Canis lupus familiaris: one gene and its partners. The main gene of each other region encodes a partner of the protein of the gene in region 4 in a complex. Links are inferred from orthologs where the notes say so. Each region holds a gene or a part of one and is shown on either strand. Other genes may lie near its edges.

Region 1 (3,991 bases), on a different chromosome or scaffold from region 4:
GGGTATTAGGATGTGGCTATCTTTGGGGGACATGTTATCCACCCCAGCACAGGCATGTAATACGATTTCCACCCTACAGAACACAGTTTAGGAATCTCTAGGTTCTTTAAAGGACTCTTGCTATGTCACATGGGACAATGGACGGAAGAGACCTAGCTTTCCCCTTGCTAACGCTCCCCCTTATTAGCTGTGTGCCTTTGGGCTGATTACCTAACCTCTCTCTGCTTCTGTCTTCTCACTGATCCGATGGAGATACTAGTACCCACCTTCCAGCACATCTGGGAGGCAGCGAGCACAAAGTAAGTGCTCAATGCCCAGTAGTGATGGTGTTAACCTGTGGACTGAGGTGGGCCTCAGTCTCCTCCTGGTCTCAGAGGCAGTAGAGGGACCCTGTTTGCTGAACACCAAGATCGCTTCCCCTGGGCAACGTCTGGCCCCCTGTCTCCTCTGCCAATTCCCCACCCCAGCTCACCCACATCACCCCTGGGTCTTGGCCACACGCAGGACACCTGACACCAGGGCCCGGGGACCTTGGGAATGAAGCAAGGGTTGAGCCAGCACCCTGCACCAGTATCTTGGAAATGCTCTTGAAATGGCGGGGCTGAGTTCCAGAGCCCCAAGGTCAAGGTCAAAAAGGGCAGTTCAGCTCCAGCTGAGCCTACTGAAAACCCAGATACAGTCCTTTCCTAAGGAAAAAGCCTTGACCTTGAAGTTGGTGACCTGGGCACCAGGCACCATTCTGTCCCTAATTTGATGTCCCGCTCATCTTTCTGAGCCTCAATTCAGTTATTTGCACAGCAAGGGGACTGGATCCAATGGTCCCTGCATCCAGCCATGGTGACAGTCCCTCTGACTTCCTCTAGACTCTCACCATTGAAGGAATCCTGTAAGCTCTGCCTGGGAATCCGGTAGTGTTGGGGGGTGTGGAGACCTCGGGCTCGCACGATCCTGCCCCAGATGTAGAGCCAAGTGGCTGTGGGAGCAGAGGAATCAGCCTGGAGAAAGGAAGGCTTGCCAGAGGGTGTCCCTTTCTCTGTGTCTGGAATGCCAGCAGCAGGTGGCCTCCCTGGGGACCCCGTGCTGTGGAGGCCAACGGGGGTCTGTGTAAGACTGGTGAGTGGGTGGCCCCAGGTCAGAGCTCAGGTGGCTGTGCCTGCAGCCTACCCGTTGGCAAGAAGCCCTCCAGGACAGGACGGGGCAGGGCCAAGGGGGCGGGGGCGGAGTCAGGGCTCTGCCCAGGTCAGTGACAAATGCTCCTTCCAACAGCTTCTGGTTTTCGCTGAGCGTGAGGGACTGGGACCTCCACTGTGTGCACGCTTGACTGTGAGACAGAGTAAGTACAGGCATTGAAGACGGACAGGGGGCCCACGGGCTTGAGGGCATGGGGCTTGATAGGATACTGGGGTTCTGGGATTTGAGAGGCTTCGAAGCTTTGGGGCAGCGCCAGAGTGACCAGGAAAACTTCCCGCGGGGGTGGGGAGAGAGCCAGGGCCTCAGAGGCCGCAGAGTCCACCCTCTGCCCCAGAACTGTGAACTTGGGCACACACTACATTGGCAGCACCTTGGTGTCCTTTTAGGTAAGATGCGAATTATTACACCTTCCCCACAGTGGCTGTGAAGATTCGGTATGTGGTAGCTCTCGCCCAGGAGGGATTTTGATCCCTGCGGCACATCTGGCAACATCTGGAGACATTTGTAGTGGGCACAGCTGGGGACAGAGTTGCACTGGCGTCTAGTGGGTAGAGGTCAGGGATGCCCCTAAATCGCTGACAAGGCACAGGAGAGCCCCCATGACAAAGAACAGCTCCGAGGTGGAGAAACCCCGAGACAAGGTAGAGGGGACAGAGTCTGGTCCACAGGCGGTGCTCCTCTGTCTGGCTTTCGGCACCTGCCATCTCGGACCTTTAGAAATCAGGAGAAACGACGGAACAGCTCTGTTTCCCTGAGTCAGGGCTGCCCCGGCTGGAGCTGCCACCTACAGGGGTCTCAGGGGCTGCTCGAGCTCCGGATGCTGTGTGGCGATTTGTTAAATAGGCGAAACTTGGACATAAAATAAGTATACTTTTCGGTTTTTCTAAGGAGAGGGGCAGTTGCTGCCCAGCGTCCTTGGTCACGGATCAAGAAGCATGAAGGATAAGGCGGTGGGCAGAGGGGGCCGGGAGGCGATGGGTTCGTTTGTGCTGGTGGTAGTTTCACGGGTGTACATGGCCCAGGGCTTTTTGTATGTCACTCGTATCTCAAGAAATGAGTTTTTAGGAAGGAAAAGGGAAATGGAAGCCGAATAGCAGAGGAGAGTTGTTCCAAGCCACCTGGCAAGTTAGCCCTGGGTGCAGGAGGGCTTCGCGTCCAGCACAGGTTCTAAAGCCTCTGAGCCATAGAGAAGGACTTCATTCATTCATTCATTCATTCATTCATTCATTCTTCCAAAAAGGGGTCTGAGCACCAGCCCTTGGCTGCAAACCTCACAGCAAGAGCCTTTTCGGTTGCTTTTCGGTTGCTCTCTGCTAGGAGCTCGTGCTCTAGTTGGGAACAGAGGCCGGGAGGCAGGAAGGCACCTGCAAATGCACGTGGGACCCGGGCTTCCATCACTGTGGGGGCTCAGGGGCCATCCTAGAGAATAACAATGCACGGGGAGGGGCCGGGCAGGGGCAAGGCATGACAACAGCGAGGAGGAGCAGACAGGTCTCCTTAGGCACACACCTCCCACAGCTGAGCTCCAAGTTGACCTGGTAGGACTTTGGGACCTAGCATTCGGAATAAGTGCAGCAGTTTTGGAGTCCATGGATGGTGGGGATTAGTGGGAGGACTTCCTCAGCGCCTGCCCAGGCCCTGCCCTGCCCAGCCCGGCCGGCTCAAGTCACTCTGGCCTGGGGTGCCAGATGCGCTGGATCCATCTGCTCTTCTCCCTCGGACATGCGGGGACCTCTCTGCAGAAACACTGGCATCGGGGGGCCCAGGAGAGGGCCAACGAGGCCAGGCTCCACTCTCCTGATTGAGAGCCCATCTCCCAGGGGCCAGGCTCCCAGGGCCTGGAGCAGACTCGCCCCAGCTCACAGTTGGCACAAAACTCTGTCAAAGCTGTGTCTTTCCGCCGGAGGCCTAGTAATATGATGACTGGCACAGTCCGGGTTTGAAACTGGGAAGCCTAAAACCAGCACCCTCATGCCTCCACTCTCTCGGACCCCCTATTTCCTCCTCTGTACAATGATGGTGAAGATACCAGCTCCGTGTTGCTGTGGAGGAGCATAAATGAGCTTGGGCGAGACCTGGGGATACTCACGAGGACCTAGCTACAGGGGAGAGGGAACAAGGTATCTGTCTCAGAACCGTGAAAGGAAGAACGAGGCAGTGTGTACACCAGTCACAGGAATCTGGATTTTAATCCCGGCTCCATCACTCACTGGCTGAGACAAGCTATATACCATTTTGCTCAGCCTCAGTTTACCCATCCGCAAAATGGTCTCAATGATGTTTCTTCCTTTGATGGGTAGATGCAGTAATATTTGTAGAGTATTGAAGAGGTTGTTAATGAACACTGTTTTGGGTTTCTTTTTTTTTAAGATTTTATTTGTTTATTCACGAGAGACACAGAGAGAGGCAGAGACACGGGCAGAGGGGGAAGCAGGCTCCCTGCGGGGAGCCTGAGCCTGATGCAAGAGTTGATCTCAGGACCCCAGGATCACACCCTGAGCTGAAGGCAGGGGCTCAACCACTGAGCCACCCAGGCGTCCTCAAACACTGGTTTTAGTAAGAGAGAGAGAGTGAGCCCAAGTGGAGAGTTCTAGGTCCCAAACCTGCAGCCCAGGGGAGAGGGCATGAGGCTGGGGCCGCCTCCAAGGAGACCCCGGTATCTGGGGAGACTCGGTGGGTGCTGAGAAAGTGGCTCTGGCCCACCAGACCTCTGGTGCTTGGTGGGGGGCAAAGGGGCAGTGGTGGGGAGAATTGTTTATGAACAAGCTGAGGCCTGCAGAGAGGAAGGAACTGGCTCAAG
Region 2 (4,100 bases), on a different chromosome or scaffold from region 4:
GTGAGGTTTTTACGGATAGTGACAGATGACACAGAAAAATCCCAACAGTACACAAAAACACACAAACGGTAGGCACCCAAGTCCCTCTCCCCAAAGGCGGCTGCCCTCAGCATCCTCCAGAAAGCCCCTGGCGCGGCAGGGCGCCCCACACATCCTGGGGGGGGGCTGCCCCCTCCTGCTGGCACAGGGTTGTTTCTGTGATGCGGCTGGGGATACACAACCCCGCCTCCGCCCTGCGGAGAATACCCGCCCCCCCAACAAGTGACTTCCTGCCCGCGTGCCCCCCCCCACCCGCCTCCCCATCCCTCCCCAGACTCCTGAGTCCAACCAGCCTCCCCCGAGTCGCCCAGCCGCCAGCCCCCCAGCCGCCCCTGCACAGGTTCCCCGTCCTGCTCCTGGAGGGCAGCAGGGGGTCCCCATCTGGGTTTCCCTGTGAGCTCAGAGGGACCTCGGTCAGGAGGTGGCTGAATTTGTCACCGGTGCCGGTGGAAACAGTCCGGAAACGGGAGACTCCCGGCTAAGACCCTGTCCCCGCCGGAACTGTCTGGGCCTGGGTCCCCCACCCTGGGCTGGGGGCCGGGACCTTGGCATCTCACCCTCAGCTGCGCCGACGCCGTCCGGGACTGCTCGGTCACTTCCTGGCTGGTCCCCGTGACCTCGAGTGTGTGGCTAGATTAGGGTTCCCAGCACCAGGACAGGCCGCATCGCTGCCCTTCTCCCACCCCTGGTTCATTTCTTCTTCCTTGCCCCCCTACCGCTGCCTCGGGGTTCTCCTGCTCTCAGACACCCCCCCCACCCCAGCAGCAGCAGCAGCCTGACCACACAGGTCGAGACCCCCCAGCGTGGAGCGGAGCACGGCGGAGGCCTCTCCCTGGAGGGGCATCAGGGGGGACTGTGTGCAGAAGAGAGGAGGACCCTCCCCCTCCCCCGCGAGCCCCTCTGAATTTTTTCACCTGCAAGGTGGGCCCGCATCTGAGTGCAGGGACGAGGAGGGGCGAGAGGAGGGTGGGTGGCTCAGGGGCCCTCTCTCCCGGGCTGGCCTGGCCACCACTCTCAGGCTGAGTTCTGGCCTTGACCGTTCCCGGGAGCCCCAAGCTGCGGATGGAGCCAGGAGGGGAGCAGAAGGGGCCTCAAGACCCAGAAGGAGGCCGAAGCTGGGCTCCTCTCTGCTCCCCAGGATAGTCGCAATAAGGCGGGGCAGCCCCCACAGAGGACCCGGGTGTCTGGGGAGGGGGGAGGACCACTCACCTGCTCTGACCTCTGACTTGGAGGCAGGGCTCTGGTCCAGCCAGCCACAGACAGGGATGGGCGGGGGTGGGGGGGGGCTGCAGGAAGGGTGCAGAGCCCTTGCCTGGGGACGTGACCTGCAGGGCTGTCCTGGGAACGGGGGCTGCACACATGACCGGGTAGCAGGAAGCAGCCACTCAGCCGGGAGAGGCTTTCTGGGCTAGACAGAGGCTGAGGGTGGGGAATTTCCTCCCCCATCTTGCCGGCCCAGCACTGGGACCCTGTTTTTGAAACCAAGTGACTCTGGCCACCAGGCTTCCTCAGGCCACACCATGGGCCTGTCACAGGCTTGTGGGGGCAGGGACTGGTTTATCTCACTGGGGCCTGTCCAATCCTCCACTGGCACTCAGGAAGCTGGGGGTGGGGGGTCCAGCCAGGCAGGAAGCCCTAGGTCAGCCGGCCCCAGCCCAGAGCAGCCTTGGCAGCATGTGGGCCTTGGTGCTGCTCTGGCCTCTGGTTATGGGGTTCAACCTGGAAGACGACAGCCAGAGCCCCCTCACCTACGACGAGATGGGGAGCACAGGGGGAGGTAATGGTGCATGCCCTTGGGCCTTGTCTGGGGGCTGGAGGGAGGCCTAGAGTTGATGAGTGGGAGACAGGGAACTGGCTGGGAGGGGGCAGTCCTCCAACCCAGCCCGGTGCCAGGGCTGGGGGTGTCTGTCCAGCTCTGACTCACCAGGCTGGGGGCTCCTGAGAGCTGGAGCCTGGACCGGAGCCCCCAGGGAGCAGCATCCCGCAGTGGGAGGGACCGGCGGGGTGGTGGTGGTGGGGGAAACGGGGGTGACAACCGGACTCTCAACGCCTCGATCCCCTTTCCCCCAGATGGCACAGTGGGGCCCCTGAGCGGGCCCCAGGAGGGGACCCCTCACTCGCCCCACCTGCGCAGCTTCCCCGGCCAGCCCTGGGCTAACAACAGCGAGATCTTGGAGATCCCAGAAAGCTCCCGCGCCCTGCTGCTGGGCTGGGTGGCCACGAGGCTGGTGCCCGCCGTGTACGGGCTGGCGCTGCTGGTGGGGCTGCCGGCCAACGGCCTGGCGCTCTGGGTGCTGGCCACGCGGGTGCCGCGGCTGCCCTCCACCACGCTGCTCATGAACCTGGCGGCCGCCGACCTGCTGCTGGCCTTGACGCTGCCGCTGCGCATCGCCTACCACCTGCAGGACCGCCACTGGCCCTTCGGCGAGGCGGCCTGCCGCGCCACCACGGCGGCGCTCTACGGGCACATGTACGGCTCGGTGCTGCTGCTGGCGGCCATCAGCCTGGACCGCTACCTCGGCGTGGTGCACCCGCTGCGAGCCCTCACGCTGCGCGGCTGGCGCCTGGCCGCCGGGCTCTGCGCGCTGGCCTGGCTGGCGGCCGCCGCCCTGGCGCTGCCCCTGGCGCTGCAGCAGCAGACCTTCCGGCTGGCGCGGCCGCCCCGCGTGCTGTGCCACGACGCGCTGCCCGCGGGCGCCCAGGCCTCCTACTGGCGACCCGCCTTCCTGTGCCTGGCCGTGCTCGGCTGCTTCGTGCCGCTGCTCGTCGTGCTGCTGAGCTACGCGGCCGCGCTGTGCGCGCTGGCGGCCGGCGGCCCGCGCTACGGCCACGCGCTGGGGCTCACGGCGCTGGTGCTCGCCTCGGCCCTGGCCTTCTTCGTCCCCAGCAACACGCTGCTGCTGCTGCACTACTCGGACCCGGGCCCGGACGCCTGGGGGGACCTGTACGCGGCCTACGTGCCCAGCCTGGCGCTCAGCACCCTCAACAGCTGCGTGGATCCCTTCATCTACTACTACGTGTCCGCGGAGTTCAGGGACAAGGTGCGGGAGAGGCTGCTCTGCTGGGCCCCGGGCGCCTCGGCGGCCTCCAGGGACGGGGCCACCCAGGGCACCGGCACCCGCTCCACCTCGCTGGTGTGACGGGCCCCGGGAGGCGGGGCAGACGGAGAGGGGGTTGCACGGGCCGAGCGGGGTCCCCTCCCAGTTCCTGTCTACAGGGACGCCCTGAAGGTGAGCTGCTGTGAAATAGGGGCTTTGCAGGTACTGTTGAAATTGGGTCACACCGGAGGAGGGGAGAGCCTAAATCCGCTGTGACCAGTGTCCTTATAAGGAGAGGACGCACATACACACCGGGAAGGAGGCCATCTGACCACGAAGGCGGACATTGGGGTGACGCAGCCACAGCCAGAGAACACGACGCCGGCCAGAGGCCGCCAGAAACCGACCGCCCAAGCCTCGCTCCCTCAGAGCCCCCGGAAGATGCCAACCCCGCCCACGCCTTGATCTCAAGCTTCCGGCCTCCAGAACTGTCAGAGAAATAAATTTCTGTTGTCTTAAGTCACCTGTTCTGTGGTATTTGGCTACAGCAGTGCCAAGAAACTAACATATGGGCTAAATGCAGATTCCCAGGTCCGGCCAGCTCCCTCGTGTCCCAGGTGGGGCAGAGGGGTTGCCGAGGCCACTCTAGAGCTGCTGCAGGACCCCCACCCGGGAGGCTGCTCCGGCTGCCCACCCCGTCATGGCCCAGGTGGCCAGGAGGCTAGACGGCAGTCCTCCTTCCCCAAAGCCCAGGGCCTAGCTCCGGGACAGGCTCCCGGGTTTGGGGCATCTCCTGAACAGTCACTGAGGAGGCCCTCATCTGCTCCCCAAAACCTGGTGCGGCCTGGCATGGGGATCTACAGGATTGTCTTTTGCTGTCACCCTGGCTGCAGGATGGCACCTCTTCCCGTCAACCTGAGATCTGAATCCTTTTCTTGATGTTAATGTCTCCCACCACCCCAGGACCAGGTGGGTGGGCATCTGGAGGGTGGACGGGTAAGGCCTGGGGGTGAGGGCTACAGC
Region 3 (4,229 bases), on a different chromosome or scaffold from region 4:
GGGCGGGGCCGCGCAGGTGCTGCGGGGGGAGCGGGGGGAGCAGAGGTGGGGGGCCCGAGGGTGGGGAGCAGGGGTGCGTGGAGCGAGGGTAGGGGCGAGGGAGGGGCCGCGCAGGTGCTGCGGGGGGGCGGGGGGAGCAGAGGTGAGGGGGCTGAGAGCGGGGAGCAGGGGGGCGTGGAGCGAGGGGCGGGGACGGGGCCGCGCAGGTGCTGCGGGGGGGGGCGGGGGGAGCAGAGGTGGGGGGCCGAGGGTGGGAGCAGGGGTGCGTGGAGCGAGGGTAGGGGCGAGGGAGGGGCCGCGCGGGGGGGGGGGCGGGGGGAGCAGAGGTGGGGGCGCCCAGGGCGGGGAGCAGGGGTGCGTGGAGCGAGGGTAGGGGCGGGGGAGGGGCCGCGGGGGGGTGGGGGGGAGCAGAGGTGGGGGGGCCGGGGGCGGGGGGAGCAGAGGTGGGGGGGGCCGAGGGCGGGGAGCAGGGGGTGCGTGGAGCGAGGGTAGGGGCGGGGGAGGGGCCGCGCAGGTGCTGCGGGAGGTGGGTGGGGAGAAGGGGGGAGGCCGGGGGACGGCGGTCCGGGCGGGGAGCCGAGGGCGGCCGCCGTGGGAGGGGCCGCGAAGGCCGCGCAGGTGCTGCGGGGGGCGGGGCGGGGGCGGCCGCCGCGGGAGGGGCGGGGCCGGGGGGGCGCCCTCGGGATCCCCGCCCGCTGCGGAGCAGCGCGACCCCCGGGGGCAAAGCTTCACCGACTAGCGGAGACCTCCGCGTTCGGGCGGCTCCTCCTCCCGGCCCTGCTCCCTGGAGGGCGCAGCCTGTCCGCTCTCGCTACAGTGAAAAGAACACGAGTCACTTCGAAGCTTCCCGCTGGCCTCCCCCGGCCTGGGCGGCGGGCGGGAAGGGCCGGGGGCGCCTGGGTGCGCGGAGCCCCGCCACGGAGGCCGTGCTCCCGGGGCCGCAGAGGTGCCGCGAGCGGCCGCCGAAGCCCGTCCGAGGCCCCGAGCTCCGCCGGCCACGGGCGCCGGGAGGGAAACGGTCGCGTTGGGATTCTCCCGCCCGGCAGGGGCGAGGGGGCGGGGGCGGGGGCGGGGGCGGGGGCGCGCCGGGTGGGAGCGGGGCGGGGGGCGCAGACGGGGGACAGGGGGCGTGGAGCAGGGGCGAGGGGGCGGGGGGCGCGCCGGGAGGGGGCGGGGCGCGGGGGCGGGGCGGCGGCGGGGCTCGGGGTCCGTCCCGGCTCCGGCCGCGGGGCTCCGCGCGCCCCGCCCCCGCCCCCGCCCCCGCGCCCCGCCCCGCCCCGCCCCGCCCCGCCCCGCCGCCCGCGTCCTCGGGGAGCCGCCGCCGCCCGGCCGCCCGCAGAGTCGCCGCCCGCCGCCCGCCGAGCGTGCCCGGCCCCGCGTGGAGCGCCCCGCGGCCCGCAGTGTGCGGCGGTCGGAGCCCGCGGCCGCAGGGAGGGCGCGCAGCCGAGCCGAGGGGCGCCGGCGCCGGGACAATGGGGCCGGGGAGGCTGCTGCTGGTCGCCGCGGGACTCGGTCTGTGCGGCCCCCTGCTGTCCGCGCGCGTCCGCGGCCGCCAGCCGGGTGAGAGCCGGGCCCCGCGGGGGGGGCGGGGGGCGCCCTGCCTGGGCCGCGGGAGCTGCCGTCCGGGGCGCCCTTGCTCCGCGGCCGCGCGGCCCTGCGCCTCCGGGCCCTCGTGCCAGGACCGCCCCGGGGAGACCGCGGCCCACGCCGCTCCGCCGCTCCTGGCGCGTTCGATACACAGCGGAGAGGCGTCCCCGATAAAGTTTTCTTTTGTTGGAAAATGGCTTTTCTTGCACGTTTTACACGTGGGGAGAGCAAAGGGCACCGGCGGCGGCAGCCGGGGGGGCGGGGAGGCCGGGCGGGGAGCCCGCAGCAGCCCCGGCCTCCCGAGCGCGCCGAGGCCGGGGGCGTCCCCAGGGGCGGCCGCCTCGCGCCCTGGGGTCTCACTGCCGCCCTTCGGGCCGCTGCCAGGGGGGCTGCCCACCCCGACACGAGTCCCACCCACTGCGTGTCTCCAAGTGTCTGGCTACCTGACCAAGTACATGTATTTTCCAAATCCCCCCCCCCCCCGCAAAAAAAAGCAGGACGGAGTTGTTTTTAACTGGTAAAAAAAAAAAGTTGTTTTTAACGGGTAACTGGTTTTTAACAGAACCCAAGGGAAAACACTTTTCAATGTCTTTATAGTGATAGTACTTTTTCTTATTGGTGACAGATTGTGTGTCCTTTACGCCGTTTTCACACTGGAACTAGAGTAGTTGCATTAAGAATAAGAGGTGACAAAGGTAGAGTTTTCTCTCCATCAGACTGAGTTCTGCTCTGGTGCTTTTGGGCAAAGCACAAGCTCCACGCAGGAGCCGGCTCTGCAGCAGCCCCGGGGGCTGCGGAGAACATCCGCACGGTCTCCTGGTGTCTGAAGACGCCTGCAGAGTCCTGGGAACTGTACGGTGTTATGTGCTCTGTGATGTGACTTTGTACTTTTATTTGGGGACAAGCTCTTGAGAATACAAATTGTTGTATGAGATTTGGATGGTGAGGTCAGGAATAAGTTTATACCGGCACAGATCCCCTGAAGTCACCCTTCCTCAAGGCCCCCAAGACCTTGGCGCCTGTGGGGGAGTACGGTGAAGTCCACAGTGTTTGTGCTCAGCTTTCTTGCTTGTGAACTGAGAAGGGGCACGCTAAGCTGGACATGCTAGCGTAGACGGATAACCGAACAGAGATTGGCTAGCTTATCTACACTGGATTCTGGAAGCACTTTGGGAGGGAAAGAAGAAAGGAGGGTGAGAGAAAAAAAAAGAGCCGGAGCTGAGTCCTCTTCGGGGGCAGGCCCTGGGCCCGGAGGCCCGGAGGCATTTGCACTCGGATCACCTGAGAGTCTCCCCCTCTCAGAAAACACTGCTAAGGCTGGCGGGCATCCCCCTGAAACCAGGACTCAGAGACAGTATAGCAAAGCTCCAGATGGAGGAGGGGGTCCTGTGTGCAGGAAATAAGTGTCTCTAGAGTTGAAATCACTCATAAGATCAACTAAAAATAGGTCTGCTTTGTCTTATCACGGCCCACTGGCAGTTCTAAAGGGTATCTGCCCTCAGCACTTTACGTGATGGGAGGAAGCCTAAGACCCCAGGCCCTGGAAAGCTCTCCAGGCTGGCCCTGCCCACCAGTTTCAGCTTTCCTGAAGCTCTTGGGACTTTTGTACCCGCTCGTTTTGGCATTTGCTGCACTGTCACTATGTGGGTATCTCATCTCCCCGGCCAAGATTATAGGCTTCCATTTATGCCCAGGAAGTCTAGAACCAGGGTCTGCTCCGCAAATGTTTATTGAGAAATTCGTAAGTTCATTACCCAATTTACTTCCCTTTCTCTTGGGTAATTTAAGTGAGATCAAAGAGGGCCAGCATCCAAGAGGTGACGCTTATCAATTTTATAAGGATCTGCATGAAGGATGGAAGGGTTCAAGAATCGCTGATACTGGGATCCCTGGGTGGCGCAGCGGTTTAGCGCCTGCCTTTGGCCCAGGGCGTGATCCTGGAGACCCGGGATCGAGTCCCACGTCGGGCTCCCGGGGCATGGAGCCTGCTCCTCCCTCTGCCTGTGTCTCTGCCTCTCTCTCTCTCTGTGTGACTATCATAAATTAAAAAAAAAAAAAAAAAGAATCGCTGATACTGTGGCAGAGGGGATTGGCTGGGAGAAGCCACGTGCTGCACGGCTGCCCACAGGCTCAAGCCCATTTACTCAGCATAGAAGGAGGTGCCCCTCCCCTTGCAGGATGGGTCCCAAGCCTCTACGCAGCCGCCTCTGTTATGTAACCTGTGAGATTACCCATGTTCCACCCAGCCCTACCCTCCAGTCCCTCCTCCTGGGAGCTAGGCTTTCTCTGGCCTCTGCCCCCTGCCATGCCCTCTGGCCAAAATGCCCTCCCTTACGCTCCACATGTTCACATTTAATTAAAAACAGCCACTCTAGGACACCTGGGTGGCTCAGTGGTTGAGCATTGGCCTTCGGCTCAGGTTGGGATCCTGGGGTCCCGGGATCAAGTCCCGCATCAGGCTTCCCGCATGGAGCCTGATTCTCCCTCTGCCCGTGTCTCTGCCCCTCTCTCTGTCTCTCATGAATAAATAAATAAAATCCCAGCCACTCTATATCAAGCACCTACTACATCAGCATCCTTTTTAGGTATTTTACGTATACTGTCTTGTTTATTCCTCTCAACAATCTTTTGAGTATGTGGTA
Region 4 (3,500 bases):
GGACAGACAGAGCTTTGTTAAGTGAGAGAGGCGACAGATGGTAAGAGACCGGGGCTGGGGTCTCTGCAGGTAGCTGTGCTGAAGGTCTGGGTATGAATTACCGAGGGAACGTGAGCTTCACCCGGTCAGGCATCGAGTGCCAGTTATGGAGGAGTCGCTACCCACATAAGCCTGAGTGAGTGATGGGCTGGCCTGTTGGCCAGTGGGCTGAGAATATGGGGCTGGGACACACTGGATGGGGGGTACAGCTTCTGCTGAGCAATTTCCTATTCCAGAATCAACTCTACCACCCACCCTGGGGCCGACCTGCAGGAGAATTTCTGCCGTAACCCGGATGGCAGCACCACTGGGCCCTGGTGCTATACTATAGACCCCACCGTGCGGCGAGAGGAGTGTAGCATCTCCCTCTGCGGTGAGCTGGGGAAGGCTGGGCAGTCCATGGCCAGGGCTCAGGGGTCTCTCCATAGGGCCTGGTAGCCTGGGACAGGAAGCTAGACCCTGGCTACCTTCAAACATGGCTTAGTCACTTACAACAAACACATTTGGGCCCGTGGGTCAGTGAAGTCAAGCAGAGACAGCTGGCCTCCCCTGCCTCCCCAGTCTTTGCCTCTAGTCCTGGTGACCCAGACTATAGCTCATTCCAAATATGCTTTCTTTCCTGCTTGAGGCCTTCTTCCCTCCAGGAAGCCTTCCCTAACCATTTCAGCCTGTGTGCCCTTTTCTGAGCACCACAGAGCAAGCCTCACATGGTCCAGCCCAGCATGATTCTGTCATTATCCTTTTGCCTGATGTGTCAGTTAGCTTTAGCCACAATAATGCTGCAGATCCCACAAAATCACAAACAACTGCAAAAGCTCAGAGGCATATACCAATAAGCATTTATTTCTTATGTGTCTGAGGGTTGGCTTGGGTGGCTGTGCTTATGTCAGCTGTGCCTGCCTATGTCTGTGCTGGCCACAATGTAGGCTGGGCTTGGCTGCTGGTCCTGCTTCAAACAATGGGTCCAGCTGAGCTTGGATCCTTGTGTGGGTTGGGTCCCGGTTTGCTCCACATTACTCATTCCAGGGCTGAGGCTGAAAGGCACCATCTCCCAAAGTTATGGCAGAGGTAAAATAATAAAAATAAAAAAAATATTCAGAAACACATGATGTGTGTCAAGGCAGTTCTGCCCATGTTCCATTGGGCATGATCAAGGCCAACGTCAGCTGCAGATGTGTACCTTTACCTATAAAATCACAGGGCAGAGGATGTGGATCTGGGCAAGGGTAAAGAATTAGTGCCAGCAATCAAACTACCAAATATAGGTTGGTGTATCTTTGTCCTTCATGCATCCCTCTTGGACCTAAGGCTTGGTCCTGGGACTATATTACAGCAAGTTACCAGTCATGGTAACAAAAGCAGCTACCATATACCAAGCCTGCCCACCCCCAATACTTCGCAGGGCTGCTGAAATTGCCCTACTGCCCATGAAGCCATCCTTCGTCATCCCAGCTACTTTTCCTGCTGTCCACTATAAAAATAGACTCTTTCTTTAAAAACTCCAGGCAGTCACTACCAATATATCACAGATAGCCCAGGAGATGAAACCGAGTTGCCATCTGTCTCATAATGCACCAGACACAGCATGTATTTTGTTTAAGTCTCTCAACAACCCTACAAAAGTGGTATCAGTCACCCCTTTTATAGGCAAGCAAAGCGAGGTTCAGAGAGGTCAAGTTACCTGAGGCCACATAGGAAGAAGGTGGCAGGGCAGGAAGTCAAACCCTGACCCCCTGGCCGCGTGTTGTCCCACCCCACCCACTCTGCTCCCCTGCCTCCCCACCCACCAGGCCAGCAGGGAGGCGTCACTGTGCCGCTGACCCCACGCTCCGGAGGCCCCACGGTGAATCTGTCACCTCCATCAGAGCACTGCATCCCTGAGCGTGGCCGGTACTACCAGGGTCGCCTGGCGGTGACCACACATGGGTCCCCCTGCCTGGCCTGGGCCAGCAGACAGGCCAAGGCCCTGAGCAAGGACCAGGACTTCAACCCTGCGGTGCCGCTGGTGGAGAACTTCTGCCGCAACCCGGACGGGGACGAGGAGGGCGCGTGGTGTTACGTGTCGGAGGAGCCAGGTGGCTTTGAGTACTGCGACCTGGACTACTGCGGTGAGGCGGGGCGGGGGCGGGGCGGGGGCGGGGCAGGGGGCGGGGCCGAGCAGCGCCTCCCGGGTGCAGGACTGCCCCGCCGCTGGGGGGCGCGGTCCGCCGTAGCTCCGTCTCCCCGCGGCCCGGTGCGCTTGGCCCCACGCGCAGCTGAACTCGCTCAGGCCCCAGGCCGAGGTCCCCAGGACGCCGTGCGCTGCGCTCCGGGCCTCGCCCAAGGCCCTCCAAGGCCGCGCGGAGGCTTGGGCGGGGGGTGCCCGAGGGCCGCGCGCAGGCTGGCCTGGCCCCAGTGGTGCCTGCTCCCCGCAGAGGAGCCCGTGGAGGAGGTGGGCGACGGGCTGGCCGAGGACCAGGACACGGCCATCGAGGGACGCACCACCGCAGAGGAGTTCCAGCCCTTCTTCAACGAAAAGACCTTCGGCGCCGGGGAGGCAGGTGAGGCAGCGGCGGCAGCGGGGGCTGCAGGGGCGCAGAGCCCAGCTCGGCTCCTCACGCCCGGTTTGCTGTGCAGACTGTGGGCTGCGACCTTTGTTCGAGAAGAGGTCGGTGAAGGACAAAACGGAAGGGGAGCTTCTGGAGTCCTACATCGACGGGCGCATCGTGGAGGGTTGGGACGCGGAGATTGGCCTCGCGCCCTGGTGCGTAGTCCGGGCGGGCCGGAGGGGCCCCTCTGGGGCTGCCCCTTCCCTCACAGGCCTGGGCTTCCCAGGTGATGCCAGCTGGCACCCCTCTGAGATTGGGGGTATTGCTTCTCACATGCAGAGAGCGAGGCTGAGGCCCAGAGAGCTTAAGGGGTCTGCCTACTTGAGTTACTTTCTCTGGCCCCAGAGCTATGCCGGGCTGTGCAAATTCTGGACCTGCAGAAGCTGGGGAGGGGTGCAGAAAGCAGGAGGCAGCCCCTTGGTGTGGTGTGAAGGTCCCAGTCCGCAAGGGCAACCAGGCCAAGCTGGGGTCTGGGCCCAGTAGGCACCTCTGTCCAGTTCTGAAAACTGGGACTTTCTACTTTAGGACAGGTAGAGGGGCAGCTCCCCAGCTCCTAAGGCTTCCCCTTCCCTCCCTCCCCCGTCGCAGGCAGGTGATGCTTTTCCGGAAGAGTCCCCAGGAGCTGCTGTGTGGGGCCAGCCTCATAAGTGACCGCTGGGTTCTCACTGCTGCCCACTGTCTCCTGTACCCACCTTGGGACAAAAACTTCACAGAGAATGACCTTCTGGTGCGCATTGGCAAGCACTCCCGTACCAGGTACAGGATGGGAGGCCACTGGATGTCTGGCAGGGGTCAGAGTCCTCCAGCGTGACCGTGGGGGCCTCTGGTGGTTCCTGGGAATGTGGGATATGTCTGTTTATTTCCCACAGTGGA
Region 5 (4,140 bases), on a different chromosome or scaffold from region 4:
TTCCACAATAAAATAGCTTTCAATCTCAGCTTCTGTTATCATATATTATGTAGCTAAAATATTAGATGCTGAATTTTGTTTAAAAGATTTTATTTATTTATTTATTTATTCATTCATTCATTCATTCATTCATTCATGAGAGACACACAGAGAGGCAGAGACATATGCAGAGGGACAAGCAGGCTCTCTCTCTCTGAGATGCCTGATGCAGGACTTGATTCCAGGACCCCAGGATCATGACCTGAGTGAGCCAAAGGCAGACGCTCAACCACTGAGCCACCCGAGTGCTTTTAGACACTGAGTTTTTATTGTAAAACTCTTGGTGTGATGAAATTTAATCAAGTGTGAAAAGTTTACACAGATCAACTCCTTCCCGGCTTATCCGACAGCCTGTAAGTCTCACGTGAAACCTGTATTTTCTGATTCTTGCTACATTTTATATGCAAAATGCTGTTGGATTGTTTGGCTTAGGGTTTAACCTTAAGTTGTGTTAATTACAGAAAAATCTGTTACAATGCAGTTCTTTTTTTTTTCTTTTTACTACATATTAAATCATATCCTCCAGGAAATAACTACTCATAAAAGCTAATATATTGTGTAACAACGTGATCGTACTAAATACTACTGAGTTGTACATTTAATAATGATTAAGATAGTAAATTGTATGTTACACATATTTTGCCACAATTAAAAAAAAGCTCATTATAGACCTCACCAACAACCATGGAATAAACAGAGTCCTCTGCATTCAATGCTGTATCATGATTTCAGTTTAACCAAGTATTATTTAACACCGCCTCCACCCACCACCCCTCTCCCCTTGCCTGCTGCCACCCTTGCCTGATCCTATAGAGTTAACCAACAGCTCAGAGTGTGCTGAGTTATGGCAAAACAAAACACCATAGAACCAAATCTGGCCAAGGAGTAATGACAAATTCAGACCGATGTGACACTGATGGAGAATTTTCAAAGTAATCAAGCTCTTAAATTTCACTTCCTAAAAAATGCTTGCTTTTCATGATTCATTTTATTTATAATTATGTAATGAGTTTAAGCATTAAGATTCGAAAGAGCTGGAAGGATAAGGAAAGGATAATTTCTGACAGCTTCATTACTGAGAAGAAATTACCCCCTGGAACAGTGTTTTTTAAATGCATAAAAATGAGATAGGTGACAGAGTCAAAACTAACTGCTACTCAACATCCATCATCAGCTTACTTCTGTAAAGGACTGTCTATTACCTTCCAGCATCTACTCAGAACAGATTATTAGAGGTGGGTAAGAGTTAAAGGATTTTCTCCAGGGATAAAGTAATGTGCTCAGAGGCTCAGCCTGAGTCATGCGCACTGCAACGAGTCCTGTCACACCCTTTCCCTCCAGAGGACCCGGGCAAGCTTCCCAGCCTGCAGAGCACAGGACAGCACATTTTAAGGAGAGAACGAGATTTCCATTTGCTGTTAACACAAGAAACTGATGTGCAGCCGGGCTCCCTAGTTTATACATTTAATAACGTTTGGGAAACGGGATTCAGGTCACCAAGATGAAAGCCCTCATCTTTGTAGCTGCTGGACTGATGCTTCTGTCACCCATTTTTTGTCAAAGCGGTAAGCTCTTTTCTCATGGGGTGTTGGGGGTGCTGGTTTGTGTAACGAGAATGAACTGCATCCAATTTTCTTTGCGTGTCATGCAATCTGCAACCCAAAAGGCACACTTTAATGTTTGTTATTAAAAGGTAGCATCAGGGATGCCTGGGTGGCTTAGCAGTTGAGCATCTGTCTTTGGCTCAGGGCGTGATCCCGGAGCCCCGGGATCGAGTCCCACATCCGGCTCCCTACAGGGAACCTGCTTCTCCCTCTGCCTGAGTCTCTGCCTCTGTGTCTCTCATGAATAAATAAATAAAACCTTAAAAAGAAAAGGTAGAATCATGGAAGTGGATAGCTACGGCTTGTTTACTCTATTCACATTTTATCAAAGACTAGTCCTTTCTGCTTAGATTTAAAAATTTGTGGCATGGTCAAGATTTTAGATCTCTAGAATTAAGAATCAAATTTCTTTGTGAGAAGATTCTGATTTTCTAAGAATTTCCTCTGATTCAGCAAAGATAGTACCTTTTCCAGATATTTAAAAAAATCCTATGTTTATACATTCTCTTGAAGCACAAATGGGAGAAACATAAATATTCCCAGAAAGAATGAGTGGTCTTTCTTTAGAATAAGTAAGGCTGACAAGTCAATATTTCTTTAATGACATACCTTTTTTTTTTTTTTGACTTTGTTTTATCATGGAGTCTTCCCTACATTCACAAGATCTTTTAGTTTTAGAAATGATATCTCCCAAATATTTTTATTCAACTCTTGTTTCCTCTTCTGCTCAACACAATGTCAGCCTCCTGCTTACTCCAAAACAAACCAGTTTGTCATAGATCTACCCATAATTCTTTTACTATCAGGTTGTTTTCCAGCCAATGTTGTTAGGAGCGGGAGAACTGGGGTGAGAGAAGATGATGAAGTAGAATAAATAAAAATGTAACAAAACCAAACCTCCATAAAGAATGTTGCTTCAATCACCAAGGTGGTTGTAGGGAAGCGCTAAGAAAACCCACTCAGCGCAAGAGCACATGTGAGATTCGTGAATAGGATAACTGACTGTTCCTTCTGGCTGTAAATGAACCCAAAGACAGCAGAAAAGGAAAAGAAAAGTTTGTGAAGGGGGTTCCTGCAAGATGTTGGTGGCGGTTCCTGCAAGACATTGGTGGGGGTTTGTAGAGGTGAACAGGGGGCATTTAAAGGTGACAAAGGAATGGGCAGTGCATGTGCTTTCTTCTGTAGGGTGGGAGAAATGTGAGCGAAGAACCCATCATCTAGAGGGTGAAGTCTGGTCCTCTGTCTAAGGCCTTATCCCAAGTTAAAAACATTTCAGAAACATTATGCCAAATGTAAGCCTGTATTAAGAAATCAAAGAAATTTTTTAAAAAACTATGTAAAATTTAACAGTGAGGACTATTAAGTCACACTACTCTCTAAGGAATAAAAGACTTGTTCACACTGAACCAGATCTGGAATTCTCATGGAAAAAAGAATCAAGACTTTTTCACAGAGTCACTGTTTACCATGCTTTTAGGCACCATGTCTTGCTCAACCACAGGAATTTTCTGAAAACTAACAAACACTTCGTATCAACAACTCTCTTATCAGATCTTGAAAGGAAATATCTCGTACACCATGTTCCCCAGCCACTGTCTTCCAGCTTTGTGCCTACTTCCCAAGGCACTTCTCTATGGGTGATGTCAAATTTAAGCATTTTCCAAAATGCAAACCCGAGAAAGGATTCGTGTGGCTGAACTCAAGTGACATGCCACATACTTTCAAAGTTCACAGGCACAGAAGAACACTATTCAGATTTTTTTTTTCTTCAGTCTATCTTCCCTTAAATGACACCTGAGCAATTCCCTGTCCCTACTTGTTCAGGCAACACTGTTTTATACACTGAATTCTGTTTGTGCAATCTCAGGGTTATGAGGAAGGCTTCAATTTCACCTGGGGGCGAACTGCTAGAGATTAAAGCAGGAAGAGAAACTGGCTTTGAATGAGAACCACCTTACTCATCACTAACCCCAAGTATTCAACATGTAAGAATTCAGAGGTCATACGAAAAGACCTAACTGGCAGAGCAATGGCATTTTTAAATTCGTATGACATTTGTATTCAGCATCAAGATCTATCTCAGAAATTTCAGAGGATCTACTTTCTGTACATATCAAAGACTAATTTATGGAAGAATTATTTAATGAGAATTAGGTTTGAGTATTAAGGTCTATTGTGCGCTTTTGAAACTGCTCTTGTATTAGGATTATTAAAATTAGCCTGCCAACCAATGCCCACCATTTATAGGACATAGAATAATGTTATGTCTCTATTCCTTTTTGTTCCATTTCCAATTTTTTTCTTTAGTTTTTTAAATTGAAGTATAGTTGACTTTGGTTTCATTGGTTTCAAGTGAACAACACAGAGATTCAACAGTCCTACACATTGTATGGTGTGATTATCATTTGTCACCCATACAACGTTATGATGTTATTTGACCACGTTCTCTATGTCCATCTTCTCATTTTTCTTCCTTTGTCTCCTCTACTCATGTCCT
Region 6 (3,222 bases), on a different chromosome or scaffold from region 4:
GAGGGGATGAGTCATCAGGCCCTGTCAATTTTTCCTTAAAAATGTCCCCTCTTTTTCCTAACCTCATCGCCTATGACATCCCACCCTGAGCTAAGAAGGCTTAACCAGCCTGCCCATTCCACTCCTTTAGCCACCCTGCACTGGTCTCCAAACAGCATTCCTAAGACACTCTTCCGCCCCGGCTCTTCTGCTCCGAAGCTCTCTGTGGGCCACCTGCCCACAGGACACAGCCCAGCTTCTAGGCCTCCCATCTGGCCTACTCTGCCCCTCCTCCTCTTTCCTCCTAGCCTGAACAGTGCCCCTTGGCAGTCCAGCTCAAGCGTCCTCCAGGCTTTGCTCACGCCATGTCTCAGGCTGTGGGCAGCTTTCTAGGCCACAGGAATACCTGCTCCTTCCCACCCCCTCCTGGATGGCTCCAGTAGTGAGATCTGTTCTAGTTGTTCAGACGTTACCATACCGCCTTTACCATTTTGCTGCTTCACACACTTGAGTCCTGGCTTGCCAAAAGGAAAGCAAGCTCTTGAGAAGAGGGACTGTGTCTGATGTCTCTTTATCCCCTTTGTGTGCTGGATTTGGCCTCATGGGCACTGTAGTTGCTATTTATCCGTAAAGACTGAATGTGTTGAAGCAAGGACAGAGAACATGCAACACTGTCTGGCATGTGAAGGGTTCCTTTTTCTGTATATTGACCAGATATTCAACTGATTACTTAACAAGAAATTCCTGGAATCAAGAGAATTGTTTTAGATACTTTCAAACCATAAACCAGTAACAGTTCTGCTGCTGACCCGTAAGGCGGAACATGAACCCTACAGTATGGAGGAAATGACTGGATAGCACTAACCATACCTACATTTTAAGAAACTGGAATCATAATGGATGGTCTTTCCCCAAAACTCAACTGATAGTACTGTGATATAAATTTTATTCTGTGGTAAAAGCAACCTGGGGTTGGTGGCGGAAAGGAGGTGAGGGCATTTGAGGGAAAAACAGGATTCTTTTGGAACTTGTAGTTCAATAAAACTGGGCACCCTTTTCTTCTCTGCCCAGAACTCGAGAGGTACTTCTGCCTAAATTCAAACTGGAGAAGAACTACAACCTGGTAGAGGCCCTGAAGTCAATGGGGGTCACAGCACTGTTTGACAAAGAAAGCAATATGACCGGAATCTCAGACCACAGGATCACCATTGATCTGGTAACCTCTCCCTCTGTCCACCCTCCGCACCTGTGCCCAGGGTCTGCCCCCAGCAAAGCCTCCCTCCTGTCTGTCCTGACTTCAGAAGTCAGGGGTGCTGGATCTGCTCTCCCTCAGTCTGCCAGATACTGTGTGGGTAGGGTAGTCTGTTTTAGGGAGCAGCATGGGAATGAATCACATTCTCACTGACTGCAGAAAGAGAGGAGGCATGTGTTCCAACCCCTGAAATAGCGACACTCAGCTGAATCATGAAAGATCCTTTAACATGCAGCAAAAATGCATGACCTGCATACTGAACTTGACAAAATAGACACACTACAAGACAAGAGAGAACACCAGTCCAAAAAACCCGACCCCATCCTTCTAGCAGTGCACCTAGAGCGTAGTACAGGGGAGACGGGGCGTGCAGCTGCTGTCTTGCTGGCAGATTACTCATACTATGGGCCACCACCATGAGAGACTATGATGTTGGAGTTTATAGAGATACATACTATTTATATGACACAGCCTCTGAGCACAATTACCACATCTGGCAGAGATCTTCAAGGGTCATTTTGGCCAGCTGTGGTTTGTGCCTTGTTATGTGGTGTTTCTACCCTAAATGAGAGGAGACTCACTATATCATCTATCCTTCTGTGTGCTCACTGATGGGATCTGACAACTTCCTTTCCATTTTGAAACAGTTCAAGCACCAAGGTACCATCACGGTGAATGAGGAGGGCACCCAAGCTGCCGCCGTGACCACAGTGGGGTTCATGCCGCTGTCCACCCAAGTCCGGTTCACTGTCGACCGCCCCTTCCTCTTCCTCGTCTATGAGCACCGCACCAGCTGTCTGCTCTTCATGGGGAGAGTTGCCAACCCCACCAAGTCTTAAAGGTGGAGGTCTGGGCATTTGAAGTGTTTTGGGGGCACTCTGTAATTCTGGTTCCATTCTAACAATGAGAACGGAGATGTTTTGGCATCATGGCTTTTGTGGTTTATGCTACCATTCTGAAATCGAGGCCCATTGGAGAGGAGAAATTTACAAATGACTGAGAAGCTCACCGGAATCAGTTCAGCACAGTGAACAATGCCAGCAGTTCGTAGAAGTGAACGTACCTGTGATACGTCAGCTGTTACCTAGAGGCTGTCAGCAACATAGAGACTGGCTTACTCCCACTTCCTCAGTGCAAACCTGTGGAGGGCCTGCCTGTGCACCTCCTTCCTCTGCAGTACCTAATCCTTGAACTTTCGGCTCTTTTACTCAAATTGCCGGCGCTCTTCATCTGAACACAGAACACAGAAATGAGCTGCAGGACTAATCTCTCACCTCTCCCAAAGATGGTGCCCAGGACAGGAACAACCTTGTGACATTCAAGGAGTGCCCTAGGTGTTAGGGCTTAATTCTCTCAAGGCCCAACTTTCCAAGTTGATGTTAAATGTCATCTATACTTCTGCTGTCACCTCACTGCTGCCCAGAGGACAGTGTGTACACGTGGCCATGCTTTCCACCTTAGAGATAAATAAATATCGCCACTTTTACTGTGTGTCTGTTATAATTCTCTTTTTTGAGGTTCAAGTAACTAAGAAAGACCAAATTCAAAATAGCTGACATCCCCAGGAGTGACAGAGGTTGACAAAAAACAACTTGATTCTTCATGGTGACTCATGTGCTACACAGCAGGCATACTCCTCAGGATCAGGACATGGTGAGTGTTGCTAAATCGTGGGGGCAAAGGTGCTGTGGATGAAGCTTCATGGAAATTCCTGAAATGCCAGTCCTTGTGGGGGCAAATGCTATGGCTTTCATCCCCGGACACAGGGAGACCCTCAGACAAGCTCCCATAGTGGGTCTGGTTTGAGAAAGCAGGTGACATTTAAATGTCTCTGCTACTTGGGTAAGACCAGTGGAATCTAAAAAGGCTGCTCAGAATTCAAGCGTGCTGGTGCCTCTGCAGTGCTGGGGACTCTGGGCAGTGACAGGGAGAGCATCAGAAGTGCTGTGCGTGCAGCTATCTATGACCCCCAGAACCCTGTAAGAGAGGCT

Evidence for each region.
Region 1: the proteins of F2 (region 4) and SERPINA5 are in contact, whole or in part, in a crystal structure (PDB 3B9F), measured with the Homo sapiens proteins. The link is inferred for Canis lupus familiaris from reciprocal best matches to the Homo sapiens genes F2 and SERPINA5. Residues at the interface, in NP_000497.1 of Homo sapiens: Arg383, Pro386, Glu388, Leu389, Leu390, Cys391, His406, Cys407, Tyr410, Pro412, Trp413, Asp414, Lys415, Trp455, Glu457, Asn458, Leu459, Asn506, Arg541, Ile542, Asp562, Ala563, Cys564, Glu565, Gly566, Asp567, Val588, Ser589, Trp590, Gly591; in NP_000615.3 of Homo sapiens: Gln241, Lys295, Lys296, Arg297, Thr368, Ile369, Phe370, Thr371, Phe372, Arg373, Ser374, Ala375, Arg376, Leu377, Asn378.
Region 2: the proteins of F2 (region 4) and F2RL3 are in contact, whole or in part, in a crystal structure (PDB 2PV9), measured with the Mus musculus proteins. The link is inferred for Canis lupus familiaris from reciprocal best matches to the Homo sapiens genes F2 and F2RL3. Residues at the interface, in NP_034298.1 of Mus musculus: Glu385, Leu386, Leu387, Cys388, His403, Tyr407, Trp410, Asp411, Arg428, Arg453, Glu454, Asn455, Leu456, Trp501, Gly502, Asn503, Trp508, Thr510, Gln516, Arg538, Ile539, Asp559, Ala560, Cys561, Glu562, Gly563, Asp564, Val585, Ser586, Trp587; in NP_032001.2 of Mus musculus: Asp54, Lys55, Pro56, Asn57, Pro58, Arg59, Gly60, Tyr61, Pro62, Gly63, Lys64, Cys66, Asn68, Asp69, Ser70.
Region 3: the proteins of F2 (region 4) and F2R are in contact, whole or in part, in a crystal structure (PDB 3LU9), measured with the Homo sapiens proteins. The link is inferred for Canis lupus familiaris from reciprocal best matches to the Homo sapiens genes F2 and F2R. Residues at the interface, in NP_000497.1 of Homo sapiens: Phe382, Arg383, Pro386, Gln387, Glu388, Leu389, Leu390, Cys391, His406, Cys407, Tyr410, Trp413, Lys415, Leu423, Arg425, Arg431, Thr432, Arg433, Tyr434, Ile441, Met443, Glu457, Asn458, Leu459, Asn506, Thr510, Lys517, Gly518, Gln519, Arg541; in NP_001983.2 of Homo sapiens: Ala33, Thr34, Asn35, Thr37, Leu38, Asp39, Pro40, Arg41, Ser42, Phe43, Leu44, Leu45, Arg46, Asn47, Pro48, Asp50, Lys51, Tyr52, Glu53, Pro54, Phe55, Trp56.
Region 5: the proteins of F2 (region 4) and F2RL2 are in contact, whole or in part, in a crystal structure (PDB 2PUX), measured with the Mus musculus proteins. The link is inferred for Canis lupus familiaris from reciprocal best matches to the Homo sapiens genes F2 and F2RL2. Residues at the interface, in NP_034298.1 of Mus musculus: Phe379, Gln384, Glu385, Leu386, Leu420, Arg422, Arg428, Thr429, Arg430, Tyr431, Arg433, Lys437, Ile438, Ser439, Met440, Lys467, Pro470; in NP_034300.3 of Mus musculus: Thr46, Phe47, Glu48, Glu49, Phe50, Pro51, Asp54, Ile55, Glu56.
Region 6: the proteins of F2 (region 4) and SERPIND1 are in contact, whole or in part, in a crystal structure (PDB 1JMO), measured with the Homo sapiens proteins. The link is inferred for Canis lupus familiaris from reciprocal best matches to the Homo sapiens genes F2 and SERPIND1. Residues at the interface, in NP_000497.1 of Homo sapiens: Lys384, Ser385, Pro386, Gln387, Leu389, Leu390, Cys391, His406, Cys407, Tyr410, Pro412, Trp413, Asp414, Lys415, Leu423, Arg425, Ser430, Thr432, Arg433, Tyr434, Lys440, Ile441, Ser442, Met443, Asn458, Leu459, Lys470, Trp511, Ala513, Asn514; in NP_000176.2 of Homo sapiens: Glu75, Asp76, Asp77, Asp78, Tyr79, Leu80, Leu82, Ile85, Phe86, Asp89, Asp91, Val305, Glu306, Met307, Thr308, His309, Gln327, Asp343, His361, Lys362, Arg388, Thr457, Val458, Gly459, Phe460, Met461, Pro462, Leu463, Ser464, Thr465.

Annotation. Positions count from the first base shown.
Region 1 is NC_049229.1:63,891,198-63,895,188, forward strand, and holds the start of SERPINA5 (plasma serine protease inhibitor), read left to right. Parts: upstream 1-1,191; 5' UTR 1,192-1,333; intron 1,334-1,462; exon of another isoform or gene 1,463-1,577; intron 1,578-3,991. UniProt on the Homo sapiens protein: Heparin-dependent serine protease inhibitor acting in body fluids and secretions. Inactivates serine proteases by binding irreversibly to their serine activation site. Involved in the regulation of intravascular and extravascular proteolytic activities.
Region 2 is NC_049241.1:46,146,494-46,150,593, reverse strand, and holds F2RL3 (proteinase-activated receptor 4), read left to right. Parts: upstream 1-1,322; 5' UTR 1,323-1,713; coding exon 1,714-1,816; intron 1,817-2,109; coding exon 2,110-3,179; 3' UTR 3,180-3,600; downstream 3,601-4,100. UniProt on the Homo sapiens protein: Receptor for activated thrombin or trypsin coupled to G proteins that stimulate phosphoinositide hydrolysis. May play a role in platelets activation.
Region 3 is NC_049224.1:30,090,546-30,094,774, reverse strand, and holds the start of F2R (proteinase-activated receptor 1), read left to right. Parts: upstream 1-1,429; 5' UTR 1,430-1,472; coding exon 1,473-1,560; intron 1,561-4,229. UniProt on the Homo sapiens protein: High affinity receptor that binds the activated thrombin, leading to calcium release from intracellular stores.
Region 4 is NC_049239.1:43,219,303-43,222,802, reverse strand, and holds part of F2 (prothrombin), read left to right. Parts: intron 1-69; coding exon 70-175; intron 176-275; coding exon 276-412; intron 413-1,829; coding exon 1,830-2,147; intron 2,148-2,453; coding exon 2,454-2,579; intron 2,580-2,655; coding exon 2,656-2,782; intron 2,783-3,215; coding exon 3,216-3,383; intron 3,384-3,500. UniProt on the Homo sapiens protein: Thrombin, which cleaves bonds after Arg and Lys, converts fibrinogen to fibrin and activates factors V, VII, VIII, XIII, and, in complex with thrombomodulin, protein C. Functions in blood homeostasis, inflammation and wound healing.
Region 5 is NC_049224.1:30,171,636-30,175,775, forward strand, and holds the start of F2RL2 (proteinase-activated receptor 3), read left to right. Parts: upstream 1-1,340; 5' UTR 1,341-1,540; coding exon 1,541-1,604; intron 1,605-4,140. UniProt on the Homo sapiens protein: Receptor for activated thrombin coupled to G proteins that stimulate phosphoinositide hydrolysis.
Region 6 is NC_049247.1:30,854,149-30,857,370, reverse strand, and holds the end of SERPIND1 (heparin cofactor 2), read left to right. Parts: intron 1-1,050; coding exon 1,051-1,195; intron 1,196-1,878; coding exon 1,879-2,070; 3' UTR 2,071-2,722; downstream 2,723-3,222. UniProt on the Homo sapiens protein: Thrombin inhibitor activated by the glycosaminoglycans, heparin or dermatan sulfate. In the presence of the latter, HC-II becomes the predominant thrombin inhibitor in place of antithrombin III (AT-III).